2 linked regions of the Rhinolophus ferrumequinum genome follow. The protein of the gene in region 1 interacts with the protein of each later gene in a biochemical or structural test. Links are inferred from orthologs where the notes say so. Each region holds a gene or a part of one and is shown in the gene's direction. Other genes may lie near its edges.

Region 1 (8,153 bases):
TCTGGTATTGGAAGTAAAAACCAGTGCTGTGAATTTTGGAAACCACTTTAAAAGTCTGTCACTTGCCTCACCTCTGAAACAAGACACAGATTACGTGTACTTCTGATAGGTTTGCATAGTGTTGGGCTGTCTGTGCAGTAATCACATGCGGAGCTTGTTAAGATCAAGTAGGGATTCTAGGGCCCTGTCACATGGCGTGTCATGCGGGGTCTCAGCTCCCGCTCCCCACACAAGAACACAGGATATGGTGAGGCCAAAAAGGAACACCCAGGGAGCCATAGGTAGGGGAGTCACACCACTATACTCAGCTGAGTTGGAGAAACAGGAAGCAGGAGCCACACTGTTCGCAACCCTCACTGTGCTGTTTGCAGGCTCAGCCACCATCTTCTTGCCAGGCCTCATTTTGCTGCTAGTGTAGCCACAGCAGTTATATTAGTAGCCAATGGCTCACTGGTTACAGCTGACAGCTAACTAGCCACAGCTGATGGCCATCCAATCATAGTTTATGGCCATTTACTACCTGAGCCCGCACCTTTCCACGTGAGGCCAAAAGCCTGGAAACTGCACTCCTGGCTCTTTGACCACAGGCCCCAACTCCAGAGAGTCTGATTCAGCGTGTTTTGGAGATTCATCCATGTTGTTTTTTCTTTCTTCCTTTTTTTTTTTTTAATTGCTGAGTAGTATGCCATTGAACGATTATACCAGTTTATTTATCCAATCTCTACTGAAGGACATCTGGTATGTTTATAGATTTTTGTGATCATGAATAAAGCTGCTATACATATTTTTGTACAAGTGGTTTTATGCATATATGCTTTTATTTTTCTTGGATAAATACCTCTAAGTGCTAGGTCATAATGTATAATTTATATGAAACTAATGGGTGTACAATAGAAAAGCTTAGAACACCCTCTCCTCAAAGTGTAGTTTTGCAAAGATGGCAAAGGATTTGTTGTAAGACCTCACGTAATCCCGGTCACTCCTAACCTCCTGTTCTCATGACAGGAACTCTGGCGCAGGAAGATCCCTCTACAGCCTGAGGGATGAAAGCTGTGTGGATAATATCTGTAGGTCAATGCAATTCGGGCAGTGTACTTCATAGTGCGTAACCGGTATGTAAAACCCTTTGATAAATTTTTGCCTCTAGGTTTCTTGGAGTTCCATCTCACTCAGAAAGGGAAATCCCTGAAGGTTGGCAGAACTAACATAAAAGTCACTTTTGACAAAGAGACCGTTATTAGCAAAGGTTTGATGGTATGTTTGGGAGAAGGCTGCGTGAGACTGGCCACTGTGGTGGGAAAGTTACACAGGCCTAAACAATGGTCTCTAAGCTGACCAGCTTTGAATCTTGCAATACTGCTTCCTCTGTCAGTTCTCTCAAGTTATCCTTAGTAGCTTTTTAAAACACCTGACTCTTTCCTTCTATCCTTCAAGCAGGTAACCCGGCTCCACTTAATGGAAAACAGAGACCCTTTGAAAGGAACCCTTTCACTTTCTTGCTAGAAACATCCACCTATCTGTGCCCATCCTTTATCACGTCTTTCCTTATTCCTTCCAATCACAGTAAAGGCAGTATCCCTCCTAAGGTACTTGCCATTCCATCTTGTCGAGGGCCTTGTATTATCTCTTCTCATCTCCTTTATACTGCCTCATTTCCCATCACTAAGCCTCTTCCAATTTCTCCCTTGTGAAAGCTAACCTCTCAACACCAGATACCGCTCTGGTTATTGCCCTCTCTCTCTCTAGTATCATCAGTCAAACCTTCTAAAGGGTTGTCTGCAAAACTTCTTTCCTCTTTCTTCCCAGAGTCTCCAAGGTCTGTCTAGAACCATTCTATCATATGCCGTAGTAGGCACGCACAATCATTTTAAAAGTAGATGATGGATAGATGGGATTCCGAGGGTGCAGACGACACTCATTTGTAGCTTATAGCCTGGGATGTTGGGTAAGAAACTATTTATCTTTCTGGTGTGTATAGATAATTTGACACATGCTTTCATTTGGAAATAAAGTTATGGTTTAGTCAGCAGTCTGCCACAAGTAACAAAGTATAAAAACAAGCGGGGAAACACAGCAGTGTTGCATTACCAATTAACCCCTTACGCGAGAACACCGGTGCTCACCACCCAAAGACCGCGCATCTACCACTCCACTGCAGAGGCAGCCTGGGACCCAGGTTGGCCTTCCGGCCGAACCCTGTTTACCGCCCGTAAGTGGCCACGGTCTCCGATCCGAGTCGGGGTGGGGGGTGTGAGGAAGAGCCGAGAGGCTCCCGGCCAATGGCAGTTCTTGAACTTACACCTACAGACGTCAGCGCGGCTGTGCAAACGGATGTCACACAACTGGCTCGGAAGCGTCTCCTCCCGCTCCAGAAAGGGGGCGTGGGCCCAGCTGCCTCCGCGAAACCCTGGGCGATGGGAGGGAGGGTCGCACGGCGGTCCCCGCGAGCCCCGCGCCCTCGCCCGCCCGCTTCCCAGCAGTCCCTGCCTAGCGGCCGTCCCGGGTGAGCAGCCCGGCGCCCGAACCCCCGTCCGGAGCGCGCCGCCGCAGCCGGCTCCGCCCCCTCCCCGCGCGGGCCGCGCGCTCCTGCGGCTCCGAGCCGTATCGCGGGCGCGCGCGCCGCCGGCGGAGCCGCAGTTAAAATGGTCCGAGCGGGACCCTGCGTTCCCCCGACCGCCGCACTGACTGACTGAGCCGGCGGGCCCAGCTCGGACTGGTCGTCTAGCCGGCAGGCTCGCTCTCGCCGTCGCGTCCCCAAACCTCGCGCCTATCGTTCTCCCGGCTTCCCTGGGCAAAGCATGTAGCCCCCGACGGGCGGCAGGGCGGCCCGCAGCTGACGCCCATCCCCGCCGTCGCGTGGGTGCCCGTGTGCGTGTGTGTGCGCCGGGCGGGCGACCCCGCCGCGGGCCGGAGGCCGAGCCAGCGAGCGGCCTGCCCCGCTGCCGGGAGCCCGACTCTCCGGGCCTCCCTCCTGCCCCGTCCCGGTCCCCCTCCTCGGGGCCTTCTATATGGGCCACCTTCTTTCGAAGGAGCCGCGTAACCGCCCGAGCCAGAAGAGGCCTCGCTGTTGCAGCTGGTGCCGCCGCCGCCGCCCTCTCCTCAGGCTGCCCCGCCGGACCCCGGCCAAGGCGCCCCCCCAGCCGGCGGCGCCCCGGAGCCGGGACTGCTTCTTCCGCGGGCCCTGCATGCTCTGCTTCATCGTGCACAGCCCCGGCGCGCCCGCCCCCGCCGGCCCAGAGGAGGAGCCGCCGCTCTCGCCGCCGCCGCCGCCGCCGCCGCGGGACGGGGCCTACGCCGCGGCCGCCTCCTCTCAGCACCTGGCACGGCGCTACGCGGCCCTGGCTGCTGAAGACTGCGCCGCCGTCGCCCGCCGCTTCCTGCTATCCTCCGCTGCCGCCGCCGCCGCCGCCGCCGCCGCCTCGGCCTCATCGCCCGCCTCCTGCTGCAAAGAGCTGGGGCTGGCTGCGGCCGCCGCCTGGGAGCAGCAGGGCCGGAGCCTGTTCTTGGCCAGCTTGGGGCCCGTGCGCTTCCTGGGGCCGCCTGTCGCCGTGCAACTCTTCCGGGGGTCCACGCCGCCTCCATCCGAGCCCCCCACGTCCCCGGAGATGGTGTGCAAGCGGAAGGGGGCCGGAGTCCCCGCCTGCACCCCCTGTAAGCAGCCCCGCTGCGGCGGCGGGGGCTGCGGTGGCGGCGGGCCTGCGGGAGGAGGCGCCTCACCTCCGCGGCCCCCCGATGCCGGTTGCTGCCAAGGCTCCGAGCAGCCACCGCAGCCTCTCTGCCCCCCGCCCTCCTCTCCCACTTCCGAAGGTGCCCCCACGGAGGCCGGCGGGGACGCCGTCCGAGCGGGGAGCACCGCCCCCTCGGCTGCCCAGCAGCAGCTTGAATGCGGCGACGCGGACTGTCAGGATCCCCGCGAAAACGCCTGCGACTGTCATAGGGAGCCGCCCCCCGAAACCCCAGACATCAACCAGCTGCCGCCTTCCATCCTGCTCAAGGTGGGTCTGGGTGAATGGCGCAGGGATGCGCGCTTTCCCCCAAGCCCGCTGCCTCCTCGGAGGTTCTCTCTCTCCTCTTCCTAAGCGCAGAGGAGGGGGTTCCCTGACCGCCAGACACGTCCCAAGGGGAGATGGGGAAGCCAATGTGGAGGATGCTTAGGGCTTATTTTTTGAAGTAGAAAAACTTGGAATCTACTGAATGCCTTTTAATTAGCGTGGGTTTGTTACGCACAATTCAAAGTTCATCTATTATTAGATTCCCAGCTCAGTGGTTTACAAACGACTCGTAGGTTTTCTGTGAAATATTTTAATCAATGACGAATTTGCACTTACTGGGTAAGGACTTTATATTAGTGTTCGAAAGTCTTCAAACTTCTTCCAGGTTTGATAGCTGCTAGTTGATGTCAATAACACTTAACTTTTTTTGAGCATTTACTGTGATCAGGCGCTGTCCCAGAGTTTTATATACGTAGTATCTCATTTAATCCTCCAATTACCGCTGTGCGATAAACATTGTTAACGTCCTTACTTTATAGAAGAGAAACTGATTTTTCAGTCCTGTGTGCCTACAGTAGTAAGTCAGGCAGAAGTGGTGTTTTCTCTTATGGAGATTACAGTCTAGTGTCGCTTGAAGAGGTTAAATGACTTTTCCAAGGCCACACATAATCGTAAGAGGCACATCTGGGGAATTGAGGCCTGCTTGACTTGAAAACCCTTTTGTTTATGCTATGTTGTATTAGCTTCCAACCTGTGAACTTTTACATAAAAGAAGGTAAGGACAAGTGTATTTTTTGTTGGAGGATGGGTGAGTGGAGAAGATATGAGTGTCCTGTGGGAGCTTTGTCGCACTTCAAGTACCAAGTAAAACTTGCAGTTTTGTCAGTGCTAGTGATAACTTAACTGTGTGATAGAGGTTGTATTAAGTTGTTATTAACAAGTTGTTTTCTCATTTTCTTCCCTCCCCCTGCCATTTCTGGACCTTAATACATGTAAATCTCCTTTTTCAGTGTGGATGATATTTAAGACTAGCCCAAAATCACTTAGATAAAAATTTGGCTACTTTTATTGTTACTGAAGTAGCTGTCATCAATTACAGTTGTTACTGTCACCAGTATACTTTGTTTGATTCGACTTTTTGCATATTTGTAATCCTGTGTTTTTATCTGTTTTATTGTGATATTAATGTTCTTGTGAATAATATAACAAAAGAGTGTGAAAGCTTAACTTTTCCTTGTGTCAAAATGTAAAGATTTAACCCGTATGGAGGTATATTTGTCAGCGGAATAATTGCCTCCGTTGTGTGTTCAGGATGTGTATTTTAGAGCAGAAGGTACTTTCTTAAGTCCTTTGAATCAGTGGGTGACATGGACAAATAAAATATCAACACATATTTGGTATAGAGGTTTGATGGATGTCTTGTTATTTGGCAAGTATACTGTTTAGAAACAAACCAAAACAAAAAACCCAGGTACTTCTGCTTTCTACCTAAACCATTATTTCTTGACGTAGAGAACATTTTAATACAGAAAAAAGGACATGATCTCATTATAAAGAGAATCCCTATAGGATAGACTTATTCTATTTGCTACATTGTTCCTTTTCACATTTTTGTTGTGAAATGTTGAAAACTTGGTCTGAGGGACACTTGGGAATTACTCCTTAGACTTGCCTTGTTTGTGTTGGAGTATTTGGAGTATTTTTTCTTTGTATTAGAAACTTGAATGAAGATTGCCTGTGGGGTTCTCATGGTCCTAGTGCTATTCAGCAACAAGTGAGGTGGACTGTCTGGAATGAATTGAAATCAAGGTTTTTCAGTGTTTACCAAGTAGAACTTTTAGGGGTAAGGCTTTTGGGGACAGAGACTCTATCCACACAGATCTTGTTCATTGCTCTATCCCCTCTCCTAAGTGCAGTGCCTGGCATTTAGTAGCACTCAGTAAATATTTATGAACACATTAATGACCAAGTGTTTAGAACTCTGGGCTGAGACTCTGGGTGAGTATGCCATACCACTAAGAGAAGTGTTTAAGAAATGTTTATATCCTGACTTGAGTTGTTCTGAGCTACAACAGAGCCACGTGATGTTTGAAAGCATTCTGGCTTTTTCTGGTGAGAAGTGGAAGTGTTTGGCTTGGAGAAGAGAATTCTTAGGGATCTAGCACATTTTTTTTTTTTTTTTTTTTTTTTTTTTTACAGTAGAGGAAGGAAGGGTCGTTGCATAGAAAGGCACAAATCCATCACCTCCATTGGAAAACATTCTTAAGAAAGTATGCTCTTCTCTCTTGATAATGGGTCAGTAGCCTTTATGATTGTGTTGCTATGCTTTTTGTACCAAAAATGACTATAGTTGTAAAACGGGATGCAGTGGGGGAAAAATTTAGGAGAGAAATGTGACTTACAGGATGTTAGTAGGGAAAGCTCTCATACTTGCCCCGTTTTTTCCAGGTATGGCAAAAGCAAAAGAGAAAAACTGAATTCTTTTTGTGGTGCTTCATGGGCAGATTTTTGGCTCATTATCAATAAGGCCTTTTCTTTTTAAATTTTATTTTATGTAAATAATAAGTATTCCTTGCTTTAAAACATTCAAATATTTCAGGTAAAGCAAAAGTGTGCCTTTACCCCTACCCTCCTATTTTGTTTCCTCTCCAGAGAGAACTAACCACTGTTACCAGTTTAGATTGTTCTTCTAGACCTGCACTGTCAAGCACAATACCCACTAGCCACCTATGGCTATTAAATTTAAAGTAGTTAAAATTAAATACAATTTGAAATTTAGTTTCTAAGTCATAGTAGCCACATTTCAGAGATCAATATTCATGGGTGGCTGGGGGCAACTGGACTGGACTTTCTAGAACAGTTCCATCATTGTTGAAAGCCCTGTATAAACCTTCAGAGTCATTTTTGTAAATGGCATCAAAATGTACATGTTCTGCAATGTTTTTTTTTGGGGGGAGGTGTTAATAGTATGGTTTGGAGGTCTTTCCCCTTAGTGAGTATATGGTTTCCTTCATTCTTTTTAACTGCTGCATAGTATCCCATAGTGTTATACTATGTGTTATACTGTGTTTATTAATGGATGTTTCCAGTTAATTGCTACTACAAACAATGCTGATAGATGTTTTCTATGTACATGTGGTCATGTTTTTCTAGGGTACATTTCAAGAAGTGGAATTTCAGGATTGAAGAATTTGTATATTAGGAAATTTAGAAAGTCCTTTCTAACAATGAGAGCTGTGTAAAAATGAAATGAGTTCTTTCTTGAACTAGTGAGCCTCATAGTTATGTAACTTCAGAACAGGAAGAGACCTTTGACATCATCTAATCTTTCCCCACTTCTTGAGCATGAAGATACAGGCTGGAGAAGTAAAATGGCTTACCCTAATACATTTTAGATAGTGAATGGCAGACACTGGTCTGGAACCCAGCTTATTGTTTCCAGGTCTAGAGATCTTTTCAACATACTGTGTGAGAGGGCCTGAATAATCTTCTCTCAGAGATTTCATGAAAGAGATTCCTGAATCTGGAGGTGGGTGAGGGGGAGCTTAGACTAGACTTCTAAGCCTATGAGTCAGAGGCTAATTTAAAATTGGGTCTGTAGGGTTGAATTGTGGTCTTTAAATATAAGAAATTTGAGAAGCAGGGAATGTCTCTTCAAAGGTCAACTGTGGGAATAGCATTTTCTTAAATACTTAAGCCTGTTACAGTGATCTTTGGTTAATGGATTGTCTTGGATGAAATAAGCTAGCTTCCATTTTTGCTACCTGTTGCCTTTATAACTTAAGCAACCCTTCCTACTGATATCACAATTAGATTTTTATATGGTGGAACCATTATGCAACAATTTTACCAAATGATAGCAGTGGAATATTTTTCTTTAAGTAATTACTATTTGAGTAACTTGGTGTGTTGTGATATATATGTAAATTTTAGAGACTGTGTGTGCTGTGTTTAGATAGCTTGCTCTCTGTCAGTAGACCTATTTTTTTCCAAAGGAAACCAGGTGAGAGATCCAAAATTTACCACCACCACCATTGGAAAATCATCTCACCATGCATGCACCTTTGATAATGTGTCAGTAGGTGTTAAATATTTATTTTTACAGCTTTATTACCAATAAGTTGCTTTAGTGATCAAAGAAGAGTTTTATAGGAGAAATGT
Region 2 (8,153 bases), on another chromosome or scaffold:
ATTGGCATAATAAAGGAAATGCTTTCCTAGAGAAAAAAAACAAGTTGATTCTTTAAACCTTAACAATGAAAATGCACCACTACCTTAATGAATTTCAAATACATTACCAAGAAAGGGAAAGGAGAAACTAAGAAGCATTAGCCTAAGTGATATTAAAGAAAATGAGGGGGAGATTGAACTTCTGCCCAATAATTCAAGAAGCAGATTTGGTGGGATGGACACACTGCTTCTTCATGGCTGATGAAAAAAAGGAGCTAATTTCTTTTTCAAATTATGAAGAAGGCAGATGCAGCACACACAAACAAGCTGAAGACAGAAATAGTGGTTTCTGAAAAATCAACGTCAAGAACAAGGAGTCCTACTCAACCCTGTGCAGTAACTAACTAGGCTGCCCCACCCCATCCTTTATTTAGGGACATCATTGTTACTGTGATAGAGATATTTAGTCATTCATCCACCTACCCATCAATGCAATGAAAAAACACTGAGTACTCAGTGATGCCTGAACATAGGTACTCTGGTGTGTGGAAGGAGGTGGGAAAGGGGAAAGTATTAAAAAATAAAGGGATACCATCTTTTCCCACAAGGATTTAATAGTCTAGTGAGTGAAACAAACAAACAAACAAAATCCTCTCCAAAATGATTTGTCTCATTGAACTCAACTTCTTGCTTTTCAAGGCAGAAGCCATACTCCTGAAGAGAGGGAAAGCTAACAATAAAAAAAAGCACCCTTTTTTGAAAAAAGTTAGGAACTTGGAACCTGATCTCGATTTGAGTCTTGGCTCCTCAACTCACAAACCTGGTAGTTCGAATACTGTTATTTAACCTCTCCAAGCCTCACTTTCCTGCATAAACTGAGGATAATGATTCCCATCTACCTACCAGAGCTGGAGCTTAAAAGAGATGATGCAAATGAAAAGACCTTGCAATTTACCTAAGGTCCAAGAGGGCTGGATCAACAGAGCAAATCTGACAGTCATCTTAGGAGAGAGGGAACGGGCAGTTTTGCCTCAATGGAGAGATTTAGAAGGGGTACAGAAAAGGTATCAACCAATTTTGGTGGGATCAAACCTTTGGAGGAAAGAAATGCAGTTGTTTTACGATTGTCTCCTTCCGCGCAAAATAAGAGCAATATTTAGATTCTTTTCATTTATCACTATTGATGCTTGGCGTGGGGGAATGGAATAACGGATAAAGCACTGGATTTAGTGCGACCTTGTTTGAAACCTCTTCGCGCTCGTTTTCTCATTTGTAAAACGAGCATCAAACGTCCTGCCTTAACTATGTACCCAGTTTTTGTGAGGATCCAACTTGAAGGTTACGAGTATGTGAAAGCCCTCCATAAGCGCTAGAGAGCCTGGCAAACACTATGTAGGTAAAATTTCCCCCCCAGTAACTAGGCGTTCCAAAGAGGAAGGTACCTCCCTGCTTGCTTTGTCACTCTCCCTTCTTCTCGAACTTTATTAACGCTATAATTTACAATCACAGAAATAACTGAAATCTGATGGCCATTTCTGACACCACATTCTTGGGCCCCACCCAGATACACCGCCAAGCAACCCGGCCAGCTCCAGACCAAAGGAAACTTAGCCCTTCTCCACCCGCGGACCGGCCCTAGCCCATCAGGCCCTACCACTGAGAGTTCCGACAGCCAATCCCCACAGTCCTCGTGCACTGCCCCGCCCCTTAAAGAGAAACGCTTTGACGGCCCGGAAGAACGGCAAGGGCGCAAGCCAATCACTGCAGAGGGCAGCCCTCATCAGGCAAGGCTCAGAGGCGGGGTCATCGGTCAAGATGGACAGCCAGAACAGCCAATAGAGTTATCGGAAACTGGGGAGGGGCGGGTGCCGGGCGCTCACAGAGCGGTTAAGGCCCCTAAGAGTCAAGGGCCCAAGGACCCGGCTCGGACTACAGCTGTTCCCTTAATCCACTCCCAAGTTCTCTATCCCATGGTTGCTGGCCGGCCGCCCTGCGTGCGGTCTATGGGTGGAGGAAGGACGGAGGTAGCGGCGGTTGAACCCGCCTGACAGGCCAGACCAGTGACAAAGAGCCGGCGGCGCAGGCTTGAAAGCCGGGAAGCGATCCCTTCGGGGAGGAGAGCATGAGTCCCTTTAGAGAAATGGAAGACGAAACTCACGTTGTCGATCACAACAGGCTGGTTGGCGATCACATCGTAGGACTCCATGGCAGAGGAATCTCTCCTTCTGAGGAAGGAACTGCCTGCCGGGTCCGCAGCTAGCGCCACTGACGCGCATGCGCAGTCTAGCCGCTGATGCAGGGCGGCCAGGGAGCGGCCAGACCTCGCCTCGGAAGAACTACAACCCCCACGATGTCTTGCACCTGCAGTTAGAGGGCAAGGCAGTTTCGGAGCCCCGCCTAATTTAAGAGACCCATTACCCGGTGTTGCGTTTCCGACGCACAGTACCCTGGGCTTTGTAGTTTCCATAGATAAATACACGGGGATTCAGATTGATGGTTGTATTGCAAGCTTGGATCTGTAGGGATCCCTTTGGAGGGATTCGCAGTGCATGCTGAAGTACTTGTCTGTAGTTCGCTTTGGATTGATCAGTAATTCGTAGATGTTCGGATTTTACAGATCAGTTCTGCCACTCCGCACCACTTCTGGACAATATTAAGGCTACCATGTTTTTATCTGGATCCATAAGATATTAATAAACATCTATGGCCACCACACTCTAATAAAATAAATTTTAATACACACACATACGGGGAAGGACATATTCCCAGAACAAAGGAAATAAATTGCATAAAATTTGCTTTTTAGGAAAAAAATAACAACACATTTTCATTGCTTTTTGCATTTTTTCCTGGATAGGTATAAACTTTGCAACAGGCTAACACTGGTCTGAAGACTGGCATTTGGAATTATTGGTAGAGAATTGACATTGATGAGTGAGAAAATGGAGGTGAAAAGTCACTGCTTTCAAATGATTTCAGTGCATTTTTCTCTAGATTATTTCCTCCGCTGCTTCAAGTTGCAGGGATGCTTGTAGTCAATAGCACTGGTAGCCTGGACTCCTTTCTATTCGTCTTTTGGAATTTCTTCAAGATCATTGAGTGGGAGATATTACTTTTTGAAAAGTTATTGTAAACAAGAAAATAATTCCCAACCCGGTGCCTTAGAAATTAAAAATTCTCCCAGTTACAGAGAGTCAAAGTAATGGAGAATGGCAGGCCCATAGTAGATAATGAACATTGGTGTTCCTCAAGACAATCTGCATATCTCTGCCTAAAACACAACAAAGAAGAGATTGTCATTAACATCTATTAAATAATTACGAAGTTTCTTTAATTGATCCTAGTTTACCAAACTCTTGTTACTTTCCATCAGAATTCCATAATAGGTATTTTGACATACGACCCCTGAGTTTGGTGGTGTTGGTGTCAGTCAATACGATTAGTGGACATTCCAAGGTGTAGGAAACATTCAGATTTAAATCTATTTAAACTAGTGCCAAATGGAGGAATGAATTAATCTATTGTCAAACTTATGTTTAAATCCTTGTTAGCGTGTCACCCGACCAGTGATAAGCTCTTCGTCAGCGCACTTCCCAGTGCTTATGTGGGACCCTAGCACCTCAAAAGGATGGCTCCACATCTGTATTTAAACCTGGGCTCCTCCTAACACTAGGGGGAGGCCAAGAGCCTTGGGATACCCCTAACACAGGGAGAGGGAGGCGGGACCTATTGTCAAGGCACGCAGTCCCACGTGTGACTGGCACAGACATTAGCCAATAGAATCTGGGATAGGGCGCGCCGGTGCCCCGCCTCCTTGAGCGTCCAGCGGCCCCCCCAGGCAACCTCTGGCTATCTCTGCCGCGGCGACGGCCTGGGCGGACGGTGCGCTGTGCGCAGGCGCGAAGCCTAGACCTCGCTGCAGCCCCCATCGCCTAGGGGAGTCGCACCCTCCAGGTTCGCCCGCTGGCGCGTCAGTGCTCTGCCGCTCGTCTGCCCTCCCGGGTTCTCCCAGCGCCCTACGCGCCCGGATGGCGGAGCTGCGGCCTAGCGGCGCCCCCGGCCCCACCGCGCCCCCGGCCCCTGGCCCGACTGCACCTCCGGCCTTCGCCTCGCTGTTCCCTCCGGGACTGCACGCCATCTACGGAGAGTGCCGTCGTCTTTACCCTGACCAGCCGAACCCGCTCCAGGTTACAGCTATCGTCAAGTACTGGTATGCCCTGGGCCGCGCGGGGACACCAACTGGGCAGGCTGGGCAGGGTTAAAGCACCAGGGACGAAGTAATATTCGGAGGAGGAGGAGAAGAATGGTTAAAGCACTTGGATGAAGGGCTTCCTGCTGCGAAGGAAGGAGTTGTAAATGGGGACAAAGGGGTTAACGGAGCCTGTGGGTAGCGAAGGGTTAACGAGGGCGGGGAGGTTGAAGGGTTAACTGGAATTAGGAGAATAGAGTGAATTGGGAGTGTGTAGGAGCTGAGCGGGGAAAGATAGGAGAGTGGGAACTGTAGACGTGGTGAAAGGAGGGGGCGCCTGTAGGGGGTCATTAGTGGGCGAGGGGAAGCCAAGGGGGGGCAGCTGAAGTGGGATGGGGGAGACGAGGCGGGGCCTGGGGAGCATATGAGAGGGCTTTGGAGGAGCGCGGCTGGAGGAGCTGCGAGGGTATGAGACTGCACAGGGTAGGGGTGGGTCTGTGGACTCGGGCTCTCCTGCCGTTTAGAAGAGCAAGTTGTGAGCGTTATGCTTGTGAAGAGATGAGGAGGTCTCCTTTTGATACTTTCCCAATGAACTCAGACATCATATCAGTGCGGTGCTTTGGGGTTTGAAGTTTCACGGAACAACTTTTCCTGATAAACTTTCTGCTTACTCTGCACAGTTTTTTTCCTGCAGAGCTTCCTCTGCCTCTGCAGCTGCTTTGCTTTAAGACATTGGCTAGAACAGAGGTAGGGTCAGGGAGATCCATGATTTGGCTGAGGATGGAAGGGGACCACAGTAAATGCTGAAGACCTGGGACTTGGACAGGGAGGAAAGAAGGCAGTGAGATGTTGAGGAGCTTCCTGGCCACAAGCTTCAGGATTTAGGAAGCAGTTTCTGAGAGAAGCTGAGAGTAACCCCCAAGTAGTTGTTAAAGATCAGACCTGTTTACAGATGGGCTACCCTTGGAGTAGAAATGGTCTTTTTCAGTTTCTCATTCCTGTTTGCAACCTATTTCTTCCTGCAACCTTTGGGCAAAACTGGTGTTATGGGGACTGTTGGAAAGGGTCTGTCTTCGTGGTCTTTCTCAACCAAAAGTTGACGGAGGAATTGGTTGAATCTGTCCAGAACCACATTCATGCGGGCACTGTATTAGATGACTCCCTTCATTGAGTCCTGGAAGACTGTTCAGGCAGCTGCTTGCGGTGTGGCCTAAAGGGCAGATAGACTCAAAGAGGGAAGTGCAAAGAGTGGATGCCTTGCTGGTTACCTCTCCCTTTAGAACTGAGTCTCCTCCGTGACAACATCTTACTTCCTCCGGAGATGGCAGAAGCTAGGCTATAGGACTTAGGCCAGCTAGCTCCCGGTGTAGACGGGAGCATGTAAAGAGGCTGACAGTGTGAAGGGCCTGGGGACCTGCCACCTGCGCCTTAGGTAGGCCATGGGGAGCAACCTGCCTCTGTCTGGTAGCCAGGAGGAGGTGTGGCCAGCGATACAGTTCTTTCTGGCAAGCAAACTGTTCTTTGGTTGAGAGAAGTTTTTGAAGAGAGCTTCTGACTGAATCACAGCTCTTGATAACTTAATCACCCATTCAAATCGCACCTCTATACTTAAATATGTATTGTGATGAACTATATTGGATTGTGTCATGAGGAAAGTGGGCCTGGTTCTGCCATGCTGTTTGTTCAGGCCTCATTTGAGTGTAAGGAGAAATCCACTGACAGACTTGGGCAACTTTTTATGTCACCCATGTGGCCAGGAGGATAGTGTTGTATGGAAAAGGTATTGAAGCACATGCAAAGGACTAAGACTGGTTTGGGCAACTGTTTTTTTTCCTTCTTGCTGCAAGCTTGTTAACCAGCCAGGACTTATCTTTAGATGGACTAACATGTAATGACAAATAACGACGATTTACAGCACTCTGTGAAATTAGAAATGCTGCCTAGACGCCGAAAAATATGAGGGAACAGCTCAGTGACTAGTTCTTTCTAAGGTTTGGCGGGGTTTGCATAATTAAGATCCTGAAATGAATTCATCGATGTCCCTCATGTTAGAGATACCACAAGGCCTCTTCAGTTCTCATGGCAGGATGATGGACCCAGGCTGCCTGAGTCTGGCTGTGGTCCAGGGTACCTTGGTATTCCTTTTCTCGTGACAAAAGGGTGGCTCTTTGGCTAGTGGCCTCTAGCTAGCAAGGACGCTAAAAGCCAAGACTGTAGTGAGCAGGGAGCGGACGCAGAGGGGCAGAGCCTGTACCTTGCGGTCACTCCAGTCCTGCAACTGCCTTGGGGAGTGAAGTCAGGTGTTCAAGGTATGAAGTTGAGGGATGCTCTGGGTCCTTGGATAACATCTTTTTTCTAAATGCACAATACGATTATTTTCTACATGCTCATGGCCTACCCATCCTGTCTCTGAGTAAGTAGAACAGAAGAACACTCTGCACTTGGAGACTAGATTGATTTTGTCTGATTCTTGGTTATTCCCTGCAGTTGGAGTTTTAAGGTAAAACCTCTCTCCTTGATGCAATACCTCCTGGGACACTTGGCCAGAAAGAGGGCTGCAGTAGTGTGGCAGATGAAGCACAGAACGGGGAATGCAGTTTTCCCACTTGTTGCTGGATGGACCAAGGCTGGAGGAGGGTCAGGACTGGGAATTTGCAGTAGGAAACTGGAGCAGATATGGAGCCTGTCGTCACTTCCATCTATTCTGGGGTTCTGCAGCTATCATGGGGTACTTCCAGGGATAGCTACCCTTTTCTTTCCTCCCTCCCCCGACAAACCTCCCTAAATCTGACTGGTTGTGGGATTAGTCAATTGATTTTGCAAAATCAAAGTTAAAGAAAGATATGGAGATTTGTCCCTAAGCTATTTGTAGTGACTTTCTTACATGTTCTATAAATAACTTAGCTTTCCTAGCAGAGAATAAGGATTTCTACAAAGGCAAATAATATCCTGACAAAAGAGGATGAAACCAGACCTACTGGTTTTAAATAGTGTTTAAATTGTGTGGCACTGGCATGCTTGCTGGGATCACACGTAACACATCTTTTATTTGGTTGTTTGCGTTCCTTTAGCATATGATCCCAATTGCAAAGCGCACTCCATCGATGTCCCAAGGGCAGGCAAAGTTTTTGCAGTCTGTGGAATAGTCAGATGTCCGAGGCAGCTCAAATGCAGAGTGTTTGTGGGCTAAATGCAGACTTCCTTCCGCTGATGGTTTCCATTTCGTCTGTTTCTCAAGTTTACCAAGTTTCCCTATCCATTCTGAAGAAAAGCAGGATTTTTTGAAAGAACACTAATTACTCCACTAACGGGAACCCTTATTGAATTAAATCCTCAGAGTGAGATAATGACTAAATCTCTTCCTCAACTGCCTCTGTGTTGGAAGTATGGGGGATGTTTAATATGGTCCTGAGAGGCCCCAAATCATTTAATGTTCCAGCTCCACCTTTGAGGCTGCAGTTTCCTGGGATCCTCTTGCGGATGCAAGCCCTCACAGGGCTCTGCAGTTATCTGTGCAGAGCTGAGCCAACCTAAGTTTGGCCTTTGTCACTTGCATGATAAAAGACCAGCTTTGCTTTGTGGGGTGTGGGCAGGGGTCTGGAGGCATTGGGTTTGTTAAGAACAAACTGTAATTAACATAGGGCACAATATAGTCTTTCAGGAATTAGCTGTCTAAGAGACGGGAGTGGAGTTGAGCCTCTTCTTCCAGAAACAATGCCCTTAGGGAATGCTCAGGATGATCTTTCTACAGAGGCCAATGGATTGACTGAGGCACCTCTTGCCTCGAATTGTGGAATGTTTCCAGGCACCATGGAAGAGAGACAATCCCTGTCAACCCATTTAGGATTGGTCATTTGAAACCGGAGGAAGCGAAAGGGGCAACCACCCAGTCGGTTTTATATCTAAAAGAGGTCCTACCTGTTGGGGAGCGGAGAAAGGAGTCTGTTGTGCTTTCGGAATTGGGCAATCTCTAGTTGCCCAGCCC

Evidence for each region.
Region 2: of the proteins of FBXL17 (region 1) and SUFU, one has a biochemical effect on the other in vitro, tested with the Homo sapiens proteins (2 studies listed by BioGRID, with this or other methods). The link is inferred for Rhinolophus ferrumequinum from reciprocal best matches to the Homo sapiens genes FBXL17 and SUFU.

The regions. Positions count from the first base shown.
Region 1 is NC_046290.1:73,023,197-73,031,349, reverse strand, and holds the start of FBXL17 (F-box/LRR-repeat protein 17), read left to right. Parts: upstream 1-2,872; 5' UTR 2,873-3,008; coding exon 3,009-3,995; intron 3,996-8,153. UniProt on the Homo sapiens protein: Substrate-recognition component of the SCF(FBXL17) E3 ubiquitin ligase complex, a key component of a quality control pathway required to ensure functional dimerization of BTB domain-containing proteins (dimerization quality control, DQC).
Region 2 is NC_046299.1:22,535,069-22,543,221, reverse strand, and holds the start of SUFU (suppressor of fused homolog), read left to right. Parts: upstream 1-3,823; 5' UTR 3,824-4,007; coding exon 4,008-4,189; intron 4,190-8,153. Other genes in the region: ACTR1A (alpha-centractin), read right to left, coding at 2,138-2,185. UniProt on the Homo sapiens protein: Negative regulator in the hedgehog/smoothened signaling pathway. Down-regulates GLI1-mediated transactivation of target genes. Down-regulates GLI2-mediated transactivation of target genes. Part of a corepressor complex that acts on DNA-bound GLI1.